Linked DNA regions of Drosophila melanogaster. The gene in region 2 interacts genetically with the main gene of each other region. Each region holds a gene or a part of one and is shown on either strand. Other genes may lie near its edges.

Evidence for each region. Genes that interact genetically often act in the same process or in processes that back each other up.
Region 1: of ben (region 2) and Syx7, changing one suppresses a phenotype caused by changing the other (phenotypic suppression), as found in Drosophila melanogaster (one study listed by BioGRID).
Region 3: of ben (region 2) and nopo, changing one suppresses a phenotype caused by changing the other (phenotypic suppression), as found in Drosophila melanogaster (one study listed by BioGRID).

What each region holds. Positions count from the first base shown.
Region 1 is NT_037436.4:21,444,190-21,450,550, reverse strand, and holds Syx7 (syntaxin 7), read right to left. Parts: upstream 4,718-6,361; 5' UTR 4,528-4,717; intron 4,391-4,527; 5' UTR 4,297-4,390; coding exon 4,176-4,296; intron 4,109-4,175; coding exon 4,039-4,108; intron 3,689-4,038; coding exon 3,544-3,688; intron 3,471-3,543; coding exon 3,054-3,470; intron 2,996-3,053; coding exon 2,900-2,995; 3' UTR 2,423-2,899; downstream 1-2,422. Other genes in the region: Alp1 (alkaline phosphatase 1), read left to right, coding at 5,801-5,876.
Region 2 is NC_004354.4:13,992,758-14,002,317, reverse strand, and holds ben (bendless), read right to left. Parts: upstream 5,974-9,560; 5' UTR 5,795-5,973; intron 5,703-5,794; exon of another isoform or gene 5,521-5,702; intron 4,224-5,520; 5' UTR 4,158-4,223; coding exon 3,702-4,157; 3' UTR 2,513-3,701; downstream 1-2,512. Other genes in the region: Ste12DOR (stellate 12D orphon), read right to left, coding at 1,473-1,479, 1,540-2,040, 2,098-2,108. UniProt on the Drosophila melanogaster protein: Catalyzes the covalent attachment of ubiquitin to other proteins.
Region 3 is NT_033778.4:18,179,030-18,184,941, reverse strand, and holds nopo (no poles), read right to left. Parts: upstream 4,326-5,912; 5' UTR 4,221-4,325; coding exon 4,105-4,220; intron 4,046-4,104; coding exon 3,830-4,045; intron 3,772-3,829; coding exon 3,418-3,771; intron 3,358-3,417; coding exon 3,300-3,357; intron 3,245-3,299; coding exon 3,125-3,244; intron 3,069-3,124; coding exon 2,865-3,068; intron 2,803-2,864; coding exon 2,563-2,802; 3' UTR 2,423-2,562; downstream 1-2,422. Other genes in the region: CG33958 (uncharacterized protein), read left to right, coding at 1-156; CG5721 (uncharacterized protein), read left to right, coding at 952-1,068, 1,124-2,401; CG5726 (uncharacterized protein), read left to right, coding at 5,110-5,471.

The DNA.
Region 1 (6,361 bases), on a different chromosome or scaffold from region 2:
TCATCAATTCGCAGCTACACAGGAAAATGCATATTTAGTCTTACATCGACTTATTCACTTATTTTATATGCAGCGAAGTGAAGAGTTTAATTGAAGCGCACAAGTTATATTATTCATGTTAGATTTATACAACATTTTATTTCTGGACACTTTTTGGTAGAATTACAGATGTAAATTATTCCTTAACTTAGGTATATTATTCCTTTTTATAAAGAGGAATTATTTTTTGTTCTGTATGACGGAAAAACTGACATGGTGGAAAACCACGGCGAGTGAAAAAGAGAGGCAGCACATCTGTGGGAAGCTTTTTCTGCGAATTTCATTAATAAAACTGTCGAAAGTGTTGGGCATCAGGTGCTGTACCCCCCGCTGCCCCCTTAACAGGTGAAAACGGAACAATCAAACGAAACTTTTGATTTGGTATTTTTGTTTTTAATAAAAATTCAAAAGATTTACAGCCCTCCACGGCAAGTATTTCCACTTAAGATGCTGTAAGAGCAGAAGAATCGAGCCACTACGTCTTCCATTCATAAGAACGCGTAATTAAGAATTTTTCCAAATAAAATGGGAGGCGCGGTAGCGTTGGTAGAGTTGGAAATGGGATAATAATAAGTTTATTGATTTGGGAAATGCCATAAACCGGATGTTTATCCACCACGCACAACAACCTCATCATTGCTACAATCATCAGAGTTATATGTACGTAGAAGGGAACTGATTGCAAAGCAACGTGCGAAATGTGCAGGGATTATCGGGGTTTAGGAGCCGGAAGATGCGCGATTGCCATTTCACAGTTTTCCCCTCTAAACTGCAATTTTCCCAGGACCAGAAATTTCAAAATCCTGGCTAGCAAGTTGGTAAGTCAATCCAGCGCTTACCAAGTTCCGGAATTTCCACTGGCCATTCTACGTTCCACTGCCATCCAAAGTCAAAACATGCGGCTTGTGTTCGGTCGCACATTATTATGCTGGGAAAATCACCAAAGACGGAGGCTGGATTTATTTGGACAAAATGACTTTGCAAATGAGATTCGGTGGCTATGTCCGTCGACCACCGAAGATGTCAATATTGTCATGGTTCCAGGTTTAGCGACTACGGCCTATGCAAACAGCAGCCTTTTGGCCAAGACAGCCGGACGACTGACTACCTGCTGTGTTTCCGTGGGCCATGTAGGTGTGCATAGTTTCTCTTAATTTCCAACACCTCCGCCACTCGAGCTCACAACGTGACCCATGGCCCCGGGTCGGGATTTGGTCCCGGTTTGTCCACTGCCCAACCTGCCAAGTGCCGCATGTAGTCATAATCGATGTGATTAGGCCGTGATGCCCGTGCAACAATCGGGGCCTAACCCTTGGCCCCACGGACGAGTAATCAATAATTCCCAGTCGACTTGGTCGGGCAGCTCGGTGACGTATTTGGACAACCACTGACAGCCAAGCGGACCAAAAGAAACAACCAGAAAATGGGTAAGAATTCCCTCAGGGGCATTTTCAGATACTCTGCGAACTCAGAAATATTTTGAAAATTAAACTCAATAATAGTTACGATTTTAGGTAAAAGAATTAAATTTACCAGCAAATATATCTAAGAATCAGATTAGGCCAATTATTAACATGAAAATATTACAGCGATTTAATAAATAACATTATAAATTATATATCATTACCACAATTATAATAGTAATTACTCACCTTTTAGTTTGAAAATAACACACTTTTCCCCATTTGAAATACCTAATCCACTCTCCTGAATGATTCAATATACCCCGCGAACCACAGGGCAGAGATCCGAAACGACTTGGGCCAGAAAAAACTGGATGACTTGGCGGGAAATGATTGTTGGCGAGCCCCGGGGCGAGTTCGAGAAGGAAATGAGCTGCACTTAAATGCATGCGAGAAAACCACTCGATGCCAACAAGTGGATAAGAAGCCACCACACAAATGATGCCCAAACGAACTATCAATGTCAGTGAATTGGCAAAAAATTTAAACTCAATTTGTATGCAGGCCTGCGGAGCTGGAATTTCAAATGTGGAGGAAGATGGGGTCCGGCGACGAGGAAACCCTTTAGCCCCGGCTGACACACCTCAACGATGCAGCAAGCTGAAGTGGGTCCACCGCATCCAGGTCTGTCGCGGCATTAATGTGCCATCGGAGAGTGTGCGCTCGCTGAACACATAGTCGGATTGGTACCAATGTTTTGGGATCGAGATCGGGTTGGGAGTCGGGAGATGGGAGCTCCTAAGCCGCTAAAGCATGCGTAACAATGGCCAACACGAAATCTTAATGATCGCTAAGCCAAGGAGGAGTCGATGACCATGCACTTCTCCGAATGCCCAGAAGAGCTGGCGAGTTCCATTCATTGATTCATTCAGGTCGGGCCCTAAATGAAGTGCTCCAAGTGTTTTCAACGCACGCAGGATCGATTTTCATGTTTATTATTTCATTTTTCGTACATGTGTGTATGCCATCGCATATATGGCTTCCTCTGCCTCTTAACTCTAAATACAATACAATACAATACAAAGCGCTGGCGAATGAGTTTCGGAACATAATTAGAATTTGAAGCCAACAGTTGTTAATCAATACTAATAATCAATATACAGGGTGCGTAATAATAAAAGTAGTACACATAAAATATAAAATTGTTTTTAAAGCAAATATAACAGATGCACGTGCCGGTGAATACTCCTCAAAACACTATATCTTCGTCTACGAGTCGCAGTTTTCGATTTCAGCCAGTATTGGAAGTTGGATTAAGGATTAAAGCCATAATCTCGCCTAAGGTCCAAAGGATTGGGTGGGGAATTACGGGGTTTAGGGGCCTGCATGCGGCAACTCTTGTCTTTTCACAACAATTTACTAGTTTGGTTTGAATCATTCGGAGATGCCGGAAGGCTCTAATTCTTGAACTGAAAAACGAGTATCAAGATGATGGCCAGCAGCACGGCGCTCAGGATGCCCACCAAAATAAGCTTCTTCTTGCGCACTTTGTTCTAATAAACAACATATTTAAATTATTTAAAATAATAACCTTGTAGGGGCGGCACTTACCCTGTAAGAGCTCGCCTTGCGCAGATTTTCCGTGCCCTGCGAGACAAAAATGCTAGTCTGTTCCACCTGCGACTCGATGGAGTCCACCGTCAGTCCCTGCTCGTAGACCAGGGCGCCAAGCTTCTTGTATATCTCGTTCACGCCCACGATGTTGTTCTCCAACTCCCGTATGACCTGCTCCTGTTCCTCGAGGGCCTGCAGGTCCGCCTGCTCCTCCATCTGAGTCTGCATCTGTTGCTGGTTTGATTTGCGATTGAAGAAGTTGTCCTCGAAGAAGGAGTTGTTGTCCTGCTGGCTGGCGCTACTGTTGGAGCTGCCGGTACGCGATGAGCCGGGTGGACGGGCGATGTTGTAGCTATCTCCGCGCGCCTGCCGCAACGCCGTCTTCTCTATGTCCGCCGTCTTGCGCTGAACAGACTAAAAATACCAATGATAAACAATCAGCATGACTCACAAAACCATTTGCTTATCTGGGAGAACAAAAACAAACCTGGAAGGCGGTCAGTGCCGCCGTGAACTCGTCCACGAGCCTATCCCGCTGGATCTTCAGGTGGCGCTCCTTGCACTTGTCCACCTCGTTGATTTGATTGTTTGTGTCGGTCACCAGCTGGTTGGTGTAGGTCATTATTTGGTGGCTGTGGAGTAAGGGATTGTTATTTTTATCGTGCGTTATACATTGATTTGATTTGTGAATCACACTGTGCTGATACGTTTAAACTTTCAAAACCAATGACTGACTACAATGTTATTTTGCTGTTGGTTTATGTGGTCGGTTGATGTGCGCAAAATGTATTAAAAGGCTGTATTGGCTTAAGAAGATTTTTAGACATTGTGAGTAAACACCCAATAGAGATCTTCACTATGTCTTTAGAATTTATGATTTGTCTGAGAGATATTCGAATAATCGATGTATATCTGCAATGGGTTCTATCTATGGGGACAGTTTAAATTCCAAACGAAGAGATCGTAATGATAATCATCTTACAGCTGCTTCTTGAGCTCCGGAGAATCTTGGGGCGTGTTCAGTTGATTGACCATGCGCTGCATCGTGGACACTGCGAAAGAGACAGAAACCTAGATTAGTCATAGGCGAAAGTTGGCAAGTGCTTCGACGCCACTCACCATTCTGCTGCACCTTCTGGATGCTGGTGGCTATAATCTGGGCCAGCCTTTGGAAATCTATTTCGCTTAGGCCACCTCCTCCCCCGCCGCTTAGACCATTCTCCATATGCTGTAAGTCCATGCTTTCGTAGGCAGACACTTTGATGACCTTCGAGTTATCGCTGGAGACAAGTTGTTCCTGGAGAGACAGACAATCGAATTAGCCCCGTGGCCCACTTATATCACATTCGCTTTTATGCGTCTCAGCCAGGTTCTTGATTCTATATTCTATATTCGTGCTTGTTTGTTAGTTTGTCTGTTTGTCGGAATGTTTGCAATTCGCATTCCCTTTGTTTGCTGCACAGCCACACACCTTTTGTGGTTGCCCTAGCTGTCGTTGGTGACCTTCGCCGGTGACCTTGATCTTAGAGCATTTCCTTCGCACTTTTTACGCGTTTCGCAATCTGAAATTTGTTGATTTAAGTAGGCGGAATGTTCGCAAAACTGAAATTTTAGCTAGGTTTTTACAACAATTGGAATGGAACTGCCAACTTGTGAGAAAGTCACTTTCGACTAATACCCAAAAGTGCCTTAGCGCGTGATGCGTTTAGCATCACTTCCTTGCTACGCTTTACAGCACTTCAATTATATCGATATCTGGCGCGGCATTCAAATAGCAGATATATAGAACTGCATTTTAATTATATTCTTCCCCCTATATTTTGTCTCGAAAATGTATATAAGTCCTGAGATTTATTATTGAAAATCGATCCATGTCTAAAATGAACTGCTTAATGTTATTATTCAAAATTATAAATTATTATTTTGCACTTTTTCTCCAAAATTAAAATGTTAGATTAGGAAAATGTCGTATAGAAATGAAAATGACCAACAATGATGCCTTATAAAACAAATAAGTCGAATTTTAGACAGTTTTCCTTCCGTTCAATAAATATGTTCATACCAAATTTAATAATAATGTAGGTATACAAAACTATTTTGCTTACCCAGAATGTTATTCAAAACTTAAAATTTAACATTGTACAACTCAGGGTATTTGAAACCTGTTTAGCAGAAATAAAATTGAAGATTATTACTTTTCTTAAAAAAGTCAAATAACTGGTAGACAAAATAAGTGCAACTCGTTTATAAAAAAAATCAAAAGCAACTTAATTCAAATTAACGTTACAAATTAGTGTATTGGAGATATTTATCAGTATCCGGTGTTTGGCACGGTTAATGAACTTTAGATCGCAGAATGAATTAGGCTGCTTCGATGCATCCACTAATTACATCATCTCCTACTGCGATGCAAGATATTATGCAAATGACCAATGCAACGAACCTGATTTTTGGAGAACATCATTTTAATCTAAGCTGTGCTGGCTGCATAATTTGAATAAGGGCATAAATGCCTTTCTTTCATCCCGAAATTCCGGTTGGTAGGTGTATTTAGAAGCTTTATAATACAGGGACGGGTTTTAATTTATTGTCTCAGTGTTTTTTTATAATTCGACTCGCATTTTCGGTCCCTGTCTTACCGGGCTCGTATAAATAAGCCTCCAACTGCGAAATGCGGCTTAGTCGATCCGTAGACTTCGTAACGCCCCGACCAGTCGAAAGTTAGTTCATCAAAATTCCGTGCGATGCGTGCTCTCCGGTTCTTTGCGGCTCTTGCCCTCCAACTCACGGCCTGTAGCAGCCAGTACAAATATGGGCCAGGTGCGTAACGTCAAGACCGAGATCAGAAACGGGCCCAAAAGACCCGAAATGAATAAATGAAAAACGAGTGAGAGTGTGCCAGGTCGAAAGCAAACTCAAAACATATGCAGAATTGATTAATCAAGTGCTAAACGGAGTATAAAAGGCGTCAGCAAAATACTCGTAAATTGAATTAAATATTTGACACCCGCTAACAGAGCTGTCAAACATCACTTTTTCCGAAGGAGAATGTTTTAACGAAAGTGGATATAAGACTAATACTTTAAAATTTAAATTTGAATTAATTTTAATGCTTAATTTCCATAGGTTTCTTTCGGTGTTTTATTTATGTGCTATCTTCTGAAAGCAATTTCCCTTTTTAATGATTAATTCGAAAGTGGAGTGGAAAACAATGGCAATTGTGTCTGTGCTTTTGTTTTGTAAAACGAAACATGTGCTTGGAATTGATAAATTCTTGAGGTTGTACTTGAAATGTGTATGCATAT
Region 2 (9,560 bases):
GTTCATGTGGCTGGCGAACACAATTCGTGGGTTGTTATATCGTTGTAGAAGTGTGGTCCAAGCGACTTCATAGTTTGCTTCAGTTAAAGCGATTTGGCGAATGTCGTTGTCCAGGCCTACTGGTAATGCTTCCTTTAAAAAATGGAACCTTTGAATCTTATCCAGACGCTCATTATTGTGAATTAAGCGTAAAAATGCATCATGAAAACTTGGCCAGTCCGCGCAGTTGCCAGAGAATTTCGGAACTGGTAATTTTGGCAGTGGTATCCGTACTTCCTCTACATGTGTTGTTATTGTAGAGTTAGCTGATTCGTTGTGCGTCACTGTGCCTGGATAAATTCGTTTCTTTTCTTCGGCCACGAAACAGTAAACTTCCATGCCCAGGTCTTCGAATTGGCTGATTGTATTTTGTTGCTTATACACACTTTCTTCGTAGTCTGCCATGCATATAAGTGTGTGATGCGCCTGATGAAATTCTTTGTTAAACTCGTCGATTTGATTCAAACGTTTTTCGAAATATATTTCCGTTTTCCGCGCACTCGAGTCTTTTTTCACATTACTGAACAAGCGCTTCAAAGACTCAATGCGGTCAGTTTGAACTCGCACCAGTTGATCAAATTTCGACATTGTTTATACTGACGTTGCTCCACTGTATGTAATGCACAAATGCTCGTATGTTATCGGTGTTCTTCTTTGACGTCTTGTTTTTTGAGTTGGCAGAGATTCCGGCAAATCTAACGGAATCGAAGGGCAACGGGACTTAGCTCTGTCGTGATGAGAGCGAGCGCGAATGTTTGCGTATACTGCTCTGTCGTGATGAGAGCGAGCGCGATAGAAAACGTAGGCACGGTGATTTATCTGGATGAAGCCGACCACGAAGATAAAATTGCCAAACAGCTTTTAGCAATTATTAATTATGATTCTTATGAGCAAGGTTCCCCTCATGGGCCACCAATGAATAGTTGTGATGCCTCACTGCTTTGACATCATTGTAATGGGGTTCGCAAATAAGAATCATATATACACTATTTAACTTCATTTATTTTTTCATATACAAAAATCACGTCTGATCGCTATGACCGCAAAATTACAAGAGAGAAAGAAAGAATACAGTTCAGTTCAATTAGCATCGATATATAAAATGTTAATCCGCTGTTAAGACAGCTGAAGCACCGGGTGACTCCGCTCATAATCCGTACACACTAGATGAGTACCGGGTATCTGATAGTCGCGGAATTCCATATACGACTATATCTGTACGACTATAGCATTCTCTCTTGTTAAACATAAAATTGAATAAACTTACCAATCAGTTACACTACCAATTTAAATAAAAGTCAACTCGATTTATCTTTAATTTTAATTTGAATCATTCGTTTTTATTTATTTTTTTTAGAAAAAAATTAATTATATTATATTCTTTGGCTTGGGCGATTTGAGTTGCGTCAAAGCTCTTTGGTGCAACCGAAAGCCTAGGTACTGCAAGTGCAAGCGCTTTGTTTAGAAAACAACCAGGACTATATTCGGAGAATTACTTACCGTGGGTCGTCCAGGGGCGATGTCAAGTTCGGCAGCATCGAGAAGAAGATGTCCGGGAAGCTGGGCCCGAACATCGCTCCGTCCAGCTGTGTATCAGACTTCGGATGAAAGTTGCTTTTACACCGTGGGCAGTGGATCTTGACGGTTGACTTGCCCCATACAGCGCTGACGCCCACTGGCAGGGTGTTCTGCCTATCACAGGAGATATTGGGACACGATCCAAAATCTCCTCGCATATATTTTCGGTGCATAGCAATCAGGCCACGCTCTGACCTGATGTATCGGGCGTGAATCATGCCGTACCACTTCTTTTCATCGCCGTACAACAAGCCAGAGGAACTATCGATCACCGGCTTCAGGATCACGTCCAGTATCTCGCTGAAATACTCCAAGCCCATCTGGTTGAACGTATCCTGCACGTAGTCGGTGGGCACGCGGCAGAGGAACTGGTTGCCCTTGATCCCGAGGAACCAATCGATCCAGCTGCTGTTGTTGTTCTGGCTACAAGATTTTACTGTGACTTGCTATAATTTCTATAGGAAAAACCTAGTTACTTACGAGCTCGACATGTTGCCAGTTCACTTGTTCAGAGAAATATGATTTGTAGACTTCAAAGTCATCGTCTTCTTCTTTGAGTTTTTGACACGTGCTAAAAGGCCTGCCAGGACTCTGTCATGCCCTTCCAGATGGGAACTCTAGACTCGAAAATTCGTTTTATGTTCGGCTGGCATAATAAGTATTAGTTCTTTTATTTCATAATATGTTATGCATACGATATTTTATGTGTCAGTTGGGCCAAAAACAAATCAAATGTCATTGTTTCGACAAGGCAGCATCGGCTGATACTATTTATAAATAGTATCCAAATCAAAATCCTATAAATTCAGTAATTTTTTAACACTTAAATTAATTAATAAACTTACCATTCAGTTATATTACCACTTAACTATTTAAATAAAACACAACTCGGTTTATTTTTTATAATTTTTATTTGAATTTTTCGTTTTTATTTATTTTTCTTAGAAAAAAATTAATTAAAATTAAAGAAAACTGAATTTTTATTTTCGCTTACTCTTTGATTTATGGTTGCTTTTCGGTTGCTATTGTTTTTTGGATTATCCTTTAGTGATTTCGGTGACAAACATTTAATTACTGTACACAATTTTTGTTGAGAACTGCACTTGAAATTTTCACGCAATCAAGCCACTACTTTTGTTTTTCTTTTTGTATTTTTTTTGTATAAATATATAGTGTATGCATTCATTGTATTTTGATCATGTATCATATTTTTGTATATTTTTTATATATATATTTTTTATTTTTTTTTTTTTCAAAAATTACTAATAGCTTAAAGGCTTCATTGTTTGGTTAAAAAAAATTGTTTTCGAGTAAAAACTATTTATCGTTTATCAAAGGGACTCTGACACAACCCAGGCAAAGCTCAAGTATCAATCGAAATGGTGAACTCTTAGTTAAGAAAAGTAAAGTCTACAAGTTGGACGATCACATCTTAAATTTTCTGAAACACTGAAAATGATACAATCAAAATTCTCTATTTTGAATTGACATTTAAGCCGAGTTTTCAAATGACGAGTTAAAGGAAATCAAAATCCCTTCTTGTTTGCCTTTCCAATTGATTTATCATATCTGATGCTACATGTGTTAATGGTTATGGGTTGGTTATTTCAGTTACACATAGAATTATATACGGCTATATGTATATAGACACCAGAACCCTCGAACAAATCAATAGAAACGACTAAAACCAATTACTGTTTTTTTTTTTTTTTTTTTTTTTCGTTTTTAGTTTGTTTCGGATACATGTATACGTCTTACATAAAGAATGCTTTCGCTATCTCTCCTCCATTTCGCCGATCGCCCCGATCGATTGGTTGAAAAAAATATATATATTAATATTTTATATGTATATCCCGCCCCAGAAGGTTCGAAAAAAAAATGTGTTCTTAAATCGTTTTTTTTTATGTTTGCTTCCTTACTTTTTTCTTATTTTATGTTTTCTTTCGTATGTTTTAGGTTTTTCTGGTTGCTTTTAAAGTATTCAATTTACCCACCCGCCCGTTCATGTCACGCACCCACTTTCTGGAAAAACGCCGATACAACTGACGGATCCGCTTTCTGACTTTCCTCCTGACCTCGGGCGTTCAGTCTTCGACGGCATATTTCTGGGTCCACTCGCGGGCATTGCGAATGGCCTCCGCCTCGTTGACCTTCCACAACTCAGCCACATCGTTGGCCAGCGGATCGTCGGGATTGGGTGCACTGAGCAGTGCCTGAATGGATAGCAATATGGTCCGGATCTGCAGGGCTGGACTCCACTTGTCCTTCAGCACGTCGAGGCAAATGCGGCCCAAACGATCGATGTTCGGATGGTAGATCTTCGTGATGAAGCGCACTTTGGGCGCTGACATTGGATAGTCCTCCGGTAGGAACAGCTCCAGCTTGAACACGCCGCCCTCGAAGGGCGAATCGTTCGGTCCGGTCACGATCACATGGAAGTAACGGGCATTGTTCTCATCGGGAATGGCATTGATCCCAGGCACTGGCTCCTGCATCAAACGTTGAGTCTCCTTGATGATGCGACGTGGCAGGCTGGACATCGTTTAGCTGGTTCCTTTTACGCGGTGAACTGGAAACGCGGGTTGAGTCTGGACCTTCTCGTTGAGCTGCAAACGAGATCGGAGTGAAGTTAACCAATTAAGTAGTTCCTCGGTATCATCCACTATCCACTCAACGTTAATTAAGACTATAAATTAGTATCCCTAATGTTTACAGTCGTGGTTTCAACTGTGAAATTAAACTAATTACTAATTTAAATAAGGGCTCAACTACATGTATCGGTGAAATAGTAGCATTAGTAAATTGGAGTTTCACTTGGTTTTCTTGGGGAAGAGCGTGGCAAGTCAAAGAGAATTTTCCTTTTTGCAGCTCAAGGTCGTTCTTTATGGGGATGCGTGTGTGCAGGGTTGGGTGGATTTTGGTCTGATACGTGGCTTTCACTTTCCCCAAGAAAGTTTTACTACAGAATTTAGCATGCCACAAAGATGTCTCTATGTGGCTAAAAAAAAAAATAAACTAATTCAAAATATGTTGTATATTTAAAGATGTTTTCAAATTGTAGTACTTAATAATATTTATATTGAAGTATATGAACGGAATTCAAAGTTATTAACTTGATTCTGGATATCTAGACTATATTGTAAACCAATATTTTCAATATTTTCTGGATTTATTTCCGTTACACTTTTTGCGAAGTTCAAAATAAATTTCTGCTTGTGTAAGTCAAAGCCCACCCACTATTGCCAACTCCTTTAGCGTGACCTTGCGGCTCCTTTAACTGTTTACATTTCCCAGACACACGGAAAATCAAGTAAAATAAAGAGGAGAAGGGGAAAGAAAGACGCAGATAAACCAGAAACAAAAGGCAATAAATGAATGCCCCAAAATTTCCAGAAATTGTATTGCGAAAGCAACAACAACAGCAACGAAAAACACTCGAAGCAAACAAAAGAAATTGCGTTATTAACGCGAAAACAGCAATAATTTAACCATAATGTGCGGCGTTTCGCTGTTTTACCAACTTATTGATTTCCCTTTTGGGTGACAAATGCACGTAGTTCCGCAGAGGAAGAAGAAGCAGATTGGACAGGAGGAATGCGGAGGGGGAGAAACGGGGTGAACCGCTTGAAAAATCAATAATGTTGGCAATTAAACTACAAAAAAAAAACCAAATAAGATTTTTCTTTTTTACAAGCAACAATTTCGCTTGCATACGCACACACACAGACACAGCGAGTCACGCACCCACGCACACAGACAAAATGCAGACAACGCGCACGAAAAAGACAAAGGCGAAAAGAGAATATGCGGATGGGTGAGACAAAGAGGGCGAGTCAAGAAAAGAAGAAAAGCAAACGCCGCTTTTTTGGCGAATTTAAGTTAATAGAAAAAAACGGCGAATACTTGGTGCGAACGCCGCAATTATTATTTTTCACACACACACACATATATATTCGATTTATCAACTTTTACGGCTTTTTTCTTGCTCTTCTTCGATATTATATTAAATTTTATCTGCTGCCTCTGCTTCTTCTGCTGCTGCTGCTCCTGCTTTTTTTTTGCTGCTGTTGTTGTTGTTGTTCTCACTTTGGTATTTTTTCGGGCATTTACAACATTTTTGGACAAAAACAATGGTTTTTAGATAAAGTATGCAACTTTCGATAAAACACAAACTCACATCGTAACAGCGCCAAGTTATTGCTGAACTTTATTTGCAGTTATGGCCGATAACTTCGTTGGCAAACTGATAAAATTCGATTTTGCAGGCAGCTCCACCACAAAAATTATGAATGTCGAACACACTCGAAAAAAAATGTAGCCGTTTGGTAGTGTGTGTGTGCGTTGCTGTGACTAACGTGCGTCTGTGTGGCGTGCGTGTGAGCGGCAATGTCAAAATGACAGGGTTGCTAGGGTGCCTAGATGTGAATTCAATTTTTTTGCAACACGTTTGCACCTCCTTCTCAGTTTAATTTCAGTACAAATATATCTTTAAATATTTTCTTTGCTACTCATCTTGTTTTTTATCCCATTTTTCCATTTTTGCGCAGGTAATTTTATTGTTCGCACTAGTAAAAACGCATTTTCGGTGACAACTCTAGCGCTTAGCGGCTGTCAAATAGGACAGTGTTTCATAGCAATCAGCTCTTCGGCACGCTACAACCCAAGGTTTTGGAGCGCTTAGCTTTTTTCTGTCAGAAATTTTGATTGGAAAATTGGCGGGACAAATCCAGTTGAAAGAAACACGAAAGAGAAGTAACAAAAAGTGTAAGTTCCCGGGAATAAGCAATAAATTTAGTCGGGATTTATTTAATCGACGACTTTGATCTTTGTTTTCGTTGCTTAAAACCAATGCTTTGCATTTTTAATATTCATCAGATGTAACCTAACTTCATACCTAAGGTAAATACATCTAAAATTCTCGAGAAATTTGGTCATTTATGTCAGCACTTTATAAAGCGATATTTGAACTGCATATTAGCACTTATTAATATGGTTTTATGTTCTTTTTAACATCATAACCATGTGTTTCCCAAAAACTTTTATCACAATAAGACTTATAATAAAAAAAAATTGCATGCAAATTAAAATAAATTTTATTTCTTTAGTATTATTCGATAGCAAATTAATGATTAAAAAAATGATTGTACATAGGTTTCGTTATTTAACAAGTCTAAAAGGAGCCGGTACAGGATTCCAATCAGACACGTGCAAAAACATAAACCCAAAAAGCGAGATAGCAACAACAACAAATTGTCAATTTACTGTAATCAACATTTATGCGTTTTTAAAAAGAGAGGCTGTCCGAACACACACACACAACTGCGCACTTGCACTCACACCCACACACCTCGAATGCAATGCCCAATGGACGCACAAGAAGCCGAAATGAGCAACAACAAAAACCACAAGGCGGAAGGCAGAAAACTAAAATACAAAAAAAAACAAGCGAAACCTCTCGCTCGCACACACACATGCTATTTACCATTCGTATTCGTTCGATTGCATAGGCCGGTTGCATGTGTGTGTGCGAGTGTGAGATAAAAACAAACACCAACTGCAAAAGGGCAACAAAACCAACAACAGCAAGACAGCCATAAGCATTACACACACCGCACACAAACACACACACACACGTGCGATCTCCGTTTTTAGGCTGGCCAAACCAACAACAACGACTGTAGTCCAGCCCACAAGTGAGAGCGAGAGAGAGCAACCTGCCTCTTTTCTGCTTTGCTGTTTATCTGTTTTTCTGCTGCAACTGCGCTGCTTTTCCCTACGCAGTGCACGTGTGTGTGTGTGTGTGTGAAAGTGTGTGGGTTGGTGCGAGAGGGGATGAAAGAGCAAGAGAGGGCGGAACGGGGGCGACCTTTATTCGCTCTTGAGCTGCAGCTGTTTTTAGTGCCTTCCTCTATGTATTTTTACGCTCGATATGGCCAAATTCTAACCGCTACAGCTGATCTTCAAAGGAATGTGATAGAAAGTGAGGGGGGAAAGGGGAGAAGAAATTGATAGAGAAGACGAGGTGAAGAGTGTAAGAAGACATTCAAATCGAAGGACGTTTTAAAGTTCTGCTACAAAGTGAAGATTTAGTCGAAAAAGAAAGACTAGTATAGCCACTTCTTTAGTGGTAGAATATAATGAAATTCTCTTGGTTTTCGTACAATAAGTCATTGAAATAATAGATGTATCTATGTACATATGTACATACATATATCGGAATAGAAAACCTCAATGCATTTTTTCCTCTTTCAGAACACCGAGAAATGATAGAAAAATTAACTAAAATGGAGAGCGATTGCTTTACTATGAAAATGTTGCAAAATCGACAAGTCTATAACTTAATTTTGCAATTGAATGGGATTTTATCATAATCATATCAGAGAGGAAATATAATTTGGTAAGTAGTATTATTACTTAAACAACTCACTGCTCCTTCAGTACTATTCGTATTCAATGTTTTCCCATTTTAATGGCCGACGATTTTCTATCATAGTTACAAAAACATGGCGTAGTTCACTAGCTCTTTTTCCTGACCTGTAATTCCCGGTGGTGGGTTGCGTTTTATAAAATTCGCATGGTCGCTTGGTTATGGTTTATCCATTTCTTACATTAATTTAAAAAGAAAATATTTAACATGAACACAATATCTTTTTATATAAGCTTTAAGTTAGTTGAAGTCCAACAAAATAGTTTTAGGATGTATTCGCTTTTATTCAATCGTAAATAACCATTTATTAAGCTTACAGTTTATTCCATATATCAAAACAATATTAATATTATTAAATTTGATTATGTTAAAAAAATGCAAGTTAACAACTAATTAAATCAAAAACGATGTAAAGAAAGACTTTTATTTAAAAATAAGTCATTTGTTTTAAATGCTGCAAAAGTTAAATTGATTGCAAAAATAATCAAGAGCTTAAAGTACCGAGTAAGTTGGGGAACGTAAAAAATGGTATTTATTTGTGTTGGGATTTTTTGTTTGTAATATTCAAAACGCAAAACTTTGACAGCACTTCAGCTGGGGGGAAATAAATCTCAGTATTGTTTGGTAATTAGCACCTGAGTTCCCCGCCTCCCCCCCCCCTCATTTCCTTCGAAACTTTCTTAGAATTTCTTATTAGCAATTTTTTTTTCATCCTGACAGAGAAACGCGCAACATTCGCTTTAGCAGCATGTTGCCAAAGGAAGGAACTTTAGCAACATCTCCAATCAGAATTTGTTCTGCTTCTCTTTCGCCTGCACTTGCAAACAAATGCATTTTAAAAGAGCGTAGTGCTCTTGCTTTCGAGTCGAGAGGCCTACTCTTGAGTCCAAAAACGCAACGAACAAAACGAGCAAAACAAATAATGCGAAAACACAAACAAAAAGAAGCGGCGCTTTCCTTTTGCCTTCTTTTTGCCATTTTTCTTGTTCTGTTTTGTTTGTTGCTGTCGAAGGGCAGCTAAGCAAAAGTGGGCGGCGGGCTGGGCGAAAGGGGGCGGCACGCATAAATAAAAACAACAGCAAAACTGAGGCAAAAGTGTCCATTAGACTCGTTGTTGTTGTTGTTGTTGTTGTTGTTGTAATTTACAAGTGTCCATTCGCAAAAAATCAGAATACCTTGAGGTTCAAAATATATCATATGGCTTCCGCTTGTTTTTAGCCAGAAACGTGAAAATATTTCATTTGCTTCTCCAGGAAGTAATTTAAAAGTATAAACATCAAAACTATTTACAGTAAATAATTTACCATTCTATGGATTCATCGCTTCTAAATAAATAAATAAAAGTAAATAATTTACACAGGTTTTTGAGTTTTTCGAATTTTGTTGCATGCTTTGCGGCGCTAATACGTGACATTTGAAAATCCTGCAGATTTCTCATAGAAAATGTTCAATTTTCTAAGAACTACATTATTCTGATTCTGTTCTGTAATTGTTGGTGTCATATAAGCTTATATAA
Region 3 (5,912 bases), on a different chromosome or scaffold from region 2:
GGTAAGGGTCTAATGAGCACCTACTGGCTGACCTGCAAGGACGGACCGGTTAGGGCTCGCGAGGAGATCTCGTGGCGGGCGGACATACAGCCCGTGTTTCTTGACCACCTGAAGCTGCATCCGCCAACCGACTACAAGCTGCCAAAGCGGAAATGAGATGCAACCAACTGCAAGTTTTCCGGCTAGGCCAAATAATGCTTATCCTGGCCATAAATTCGAGGTGCTTTTCTTTTGGATGTGCATGCATTAGTGTCCCGCTCTCTCAATCTCTCTATTTAAATATCTAAGTATCTTTCCTTTCTATCAAAAAGTTGAAGTTACACGGTGCACCAAGTGTAGATAAAATATACAACATAAAATTCGTCTTAATTTTAAATTCGCTTCAAAATATAATAATTAAATCACTTCCTTGAAAAAAAGTGGAAGTGCAACTGATGCATCGTGTACAACAACTTTAAACGCTTCAATGGCCAATCGTCTTTTTACATGTAATACACAGTGCAAATCACAAGCATGCGGCCAAAATACAGACTTATGTTAATAAAAAATATGCGAGAAATACATTGTTACCATTCGTTTTCCAACCACAGTGATGGGACATATATAAAGAAACCTAAAATCTTTTCTTTCACTTCTTTAGTTATAAAATAAGGTTATAATTTATTTTTTATCAAATTCGGTGTTAGTATTAATACAACAATTTTTTTGAGTGTTCAATGGTGAGTTTTATTAAACCGTACAACGATATGTATCGAATGTAAATCAGCTGGAAGTATGACCGCCCTGCGAAGTGCGATAGTGTGACCGCAGCCACTAAATTCGAACTGTGCCTGTGTGCCTGCGTGTGGGCGTGTGTGTGTGTGTGGGAAGTTACAGAGAGAACAAAGTAAAATTTGAAAAGTTAAAGCTGCAGCTGCTGAGGGCATAGCCAAAATTGGACGAATCACTGCCATGGCCAAGGTTATATCGCAGGACACCTTCGACGATGTTGTGAAGGAGAACGTTGTGGAGTTCTCGATGACTCCTTCGGAGGCGAAAGAAGAGACCATCAAGCAATTCGAGGCACAGGTAAGTAATGTCGACATAGTCATCCAGTAGATTCACTTTAATGAAATGATTGCAGGGCATCAACCTGGCCAACATTATCAAGGACCTGTCCGTCAATCCGCAAACCGGCCAACCTGTCATCAACGAAACGGTGGACAAGATCAAGGAGCACATTGGCCAAAAACTGGAGGAAACAACGGAGCTGCTGGAACAGCTGGCCACCTTGGATGCTGAGTGCAAAAAGTCGCTAGCCCATAGGGTTCTAGCCGGCAAAAATGGAGCCCACGATGCCCTGATCACCCTGTTGGAGGAGACGCTCTCTGCTGAGTCACCCAACGAATCCGTGTTAAAAAAGTCCTTGGAAGCCATCAACAGCCTGACCCACAAGCAGCCGGATCTGTTTGATGCCGAGGCGATGGCCGTGGTTCTCAAGTTACTGGCCCTCAAAGTGGAGAGTGAAGAAGTCACCCTGTTGACTCTTCAATGGCTGCAGAAGGCCTGCATCATGCATGAAATGAACCGCCAGAATATCATGAATACCTCCGCACTCAAACTCATGAAGCCCCTTTTAGGGAAAGGGAAGGACCGCCTGGTGCGTGAACTGACCGCCGTCTTCCGCTTCCTAGTGCTGGATGATGACATTCGCGTTGAGTTTGGATGCGCCCACGAGCACGCCCGCCAAATAGCAGGCGAGGTGCTCATCACCTTGGTGGAACTTTTGCCGGCCTATCAGGATCCTAATGTTCTGGCTGATCTTCTGCTGACCATTGGAACACTGGCTGTGCGTCAGGAACTCTGTACAGCTATCGACGAGGCTGGTGGACTGAAGTCCGTCTTCGAGATCATGAGTTCGAATTTGGATGAGGTGCGTCTAAATAGAGAGGCCTTAAAGTTGCTACGTGCCCTGGCTGGCCAAGACTCCGTGAAGTCACATATAGTACAGCAGGGCGTGGCTCCTATAATAAAGCAATTGCTAGAGACGCACCAGTCCAATGAAAACATCGTTGCCGCCGCTTTGGCCTGCGTGACTACTCTGACACTCCGAGTGCAGGAACACAGTGCCGCCTTTTTCGATACCGGCATCGCCGAAGTAATCGTGGAGGCTCTTCGCGCCCATCCCAAACACAAGATAGTCCAGCGAAACGGAGCGTGGGCCATCCGCAATATGGTGTCACGGTCGCGGAACCAGTGTGAAACCTGGATCTCCTTCGGCGTTGAGGATCTACTAAATATGGCAATGAAGGAGCACCCCAGTGTGGAGCAGGACATCAAGGCGGCGTTGCGCGACCTCGGCTGTAGTGTCCACTTGCGCGAGGAATGGACGGGCACGGCGGAGAAAAAAATTGCCGCCTAATCGCACACACATATGCCTTTTGTATTTTTATATATTTACTGCTAAATTATTACTATTGCTTAATTCATGCATTGGCTAACTAACAAAATCGGCAATCCTCAATACCAATCGCGTGCTAATACCCAACTGGGGCAGTCTCTTATGATCACATGGCTGTGGACTTATTTGCCCAGGTTAAAGTTGCGCAGCGAGCCGGCTTTAAGACGCTGGTTGACATTCCGGGAAAGGGCGGTCGAGGATCTGATTGTGGAAAGACCCTCTTCCTCGGCGCGCTGCGCAAAGGGGTCAACCTTCTCAGAACCGCCCATTCCATTGTAGACAAAATTTGAGCCCGTCGTGGCCGTCAACGCAGAACTACTTGAACTTCCCAGCAGCAGTCTTGGCTTCTTGAAGATTGAATACTGGGGGAATATACGGAATTTTTAAATGGTTAAGTGGAATTCGGCAAAATTATTGCGTTTACCTTTTCACTGAGATCACTGCTGGTTTTCCGTATGGTTCCGCTGGTCATAGACACACCGCCACCGACTCCCTTGATGGGCGATATTTTAGACTTGGCCAGCCCAATGTTACCCTTAGTATTAAGAAGATGCGCCAACCCGACGCTGCTGGATTTAATGTTGAGATATGGGGAGGTGGATTCTTCGATGCGCTTAATATTCTCCTTCTGTAGGGCAGCAAAATATTAGTAGCTTATATTTTCGTTTATTCGTGTCTACTCACAACTGTAGGGGAAATAGTGGTACGCCTTTCCTCCCTTTTAAGGGCCAAAATGTTGCTGTTCAGACCACAAGAGGCATTTGGTGAGTCCAAGTAAGCGGTCTTGTTCTCAAAAGCTTGTAGCTGAAAAGATAATAGTATGTTTAATCGAAATTGTGTTAAAGAAGGCTCAGCAAACCTTCTCCTGCGCCTGGTAAAGGTCGCTCTCCAGGTGTGAAACACGCTCTTCCAGCTTGCTGCAATCGAATGAGCACATATCAATTATAAAAACCACGTTTGGAATGTTGTGAGCATACCGCTTTAGTTCGATCTCCTTTCGCAGATCATTCTGCACCACCTTCACTACATTCCTGAGCTCCGTCTTTTTGCTCTCGCATTGTCGCAACTCCCTCTTGAGAGTGGACACCCAGTTGGCTAGGACATGTGGATCAGCCTCGTTCTTGAGCAAGCGGTCGGCATCCGCCGAGCCAGCCGCCAGAATAGCCGATATGCCTTCCATACTCTGGATCTGTGATTTCAATGTTTTGTTTTCCTTGCGCAACCCATCAACGACATGGGCATCACTCTTGAGGACGCCAATTTGCTCGACATAGCTGCTGATGAGAAAATCCTTCTTTTGCACCTTCTGCTCCAAACCGGCTATGGTTTTGCTGCAAATGAGAAATGCATCAGTCTGGTACTTAAGGCAATGTGTATACAAAAGCATACAGGCACTTCTTTTGTGTTTCCTTCAGATCCCGAATCTGCTGTTCATCCTTGTTGCGCTCTTTTTCGACCATTTTCATGGACAACATCGCATTGTCCAGCTGCTCCTGCAGTGAACCAACATCGATGTGGCTCACATCCAAGTTGGCCAGATTGAAATAGACCCTAAATATGTTGCGGGTAGTGCACTTATTCCGGCACTGAGGACAGGTCTTTGATCTGCGAAAGATATTTGATTTTATTGTCGGGAATCAGAAATATCCTTATGCGTTGTTTACCGATCGAGCCATTGATTTAGACAGTTGTGGTGGAACATATGACCACAAACTGTGGCAAAAACCTCGTCGGCCTGGCCAAACAATTCGGCGCATATCACGCAGTTTAAGTTCAACATTTTTGGCACAAATAACTACATAAAAATAGTTATTACAAAAGAACAACAAATAAACGCACGCCGAACAGTTTGCGCGCCCAACGAAACACAGCTGACTGATGGCGATTTTACGATGCTCCAATGAGCGGAATTCACCACACCAGTATTTGTCAAGAATCGATTGTAGACAATAACTGTTAGCTGATAGATATTTCCACGACAAACTAATTGCTAACTAACTTGGCTTAAGTCGAAACAACAAATAATGTTTACAAATACGCTTACTCAGCCACTGAAACTAAAATTCATCCTAAATTTTAGAAAGATATGTATGTGTGGATACTTTTTAAACCCTACTTCTTAAGATATACTGTGGATATAAATTTCATATTTTATTCTGCCAATCCATCTTAAATCCAGCTACTTATGCTCCGTACTTTAGCCCCATGGTGGTCTTATCGATAACAGCGGGAGCACTGTGGCGCTATTTACGAAAGCACACCGTGTGCTTTCGATATCGCGACAATGCTATCTAGAGGTGGAGAAACATCGATGTTTTAAAGAACACAACACATCGATGTTTTTCCACCTCTTTTAAAAGTCGTCAAATAGCAATAATAAATAGGAATAGTTATAAATTTGTGCATTTAATTTCGTTCGTTATTTGCGTTTCAATCGACCGTGGGTCCCAGTGAGCTAACTGCACCTGCACCCAAAGCGGAAGCTGAGCGAAAAGGTGTTTCATTTGGCGTGCGCATTTCGACACCTTTGTCAACGCTGATTCTTATTTGGTGGACCGACGACTCACACACACGCGCGTACCAATATAACAGACACTGAAGTGTGTGTGGAAGGGACAGACAAACAACCGTGCGATAACAACAACAAACGGCAGTGATCGCGGCGAGAAATGGAAATGGCCAACAACATGGTCAGCAGCAGCAACAGTGGCGGCGGTGGCAGCAGCAACACCACCTCCTACGGCAACAACAGCTACAACAACAGTGCGGTGGACAGTGGTCACAGTTCGCACAGTGGTGTCGGTAGCGGGGGCGGTGGTGAGGGAACGGGAGCGCGCCTCCGGGATGTTTGTACCATCCTGAACACTGGCCCCGCCGCCTATCAAAATCAAACAGGTGGCTATGCCTACGACCACATCATCGCCCTGATGAGGAACCTTGATCTGCAGGACGATGGCATTGTGCTGAACTCCAAGATCAAGACCATCGAAACGGACTTCTGCAACATAGTGCGCGACGAGTCTATGCTTTGGTATGTGTGCCGATCTCTACCGTTTGGTTGGTTCGCTCATTGATGATTAATCATATCATAAGTAGTGTGTTTATTTGCCACCTCTTTTCGCATATACATATGGATGTATGTAAATACCCGGCGTAGGTACAGTGCGGTGCGATAGCATATGGGCAAGGCGAGCTCCCAAGCCCATCAAAGCCAGCCATGTGATAACAAGACTTAATGCATGCAGTACATATCTGCCTGGCGAAGACCGATCCTTATTGTAATATTTATGACATTCCATTACAAGTAGCATGAGTAATTCGTTAAATTTGGGAGCTTGTGGCGTTCGCCCATAGGTTACAGCATTCTATAAGTTATTCCAATAATGAAATGCTTGAAATGCAGAAACCGAATTACTAATCAAGTTCAAACGTTAATTTGTTTTTACGCGTTCAAGAACCCTTGGGTTCTTAA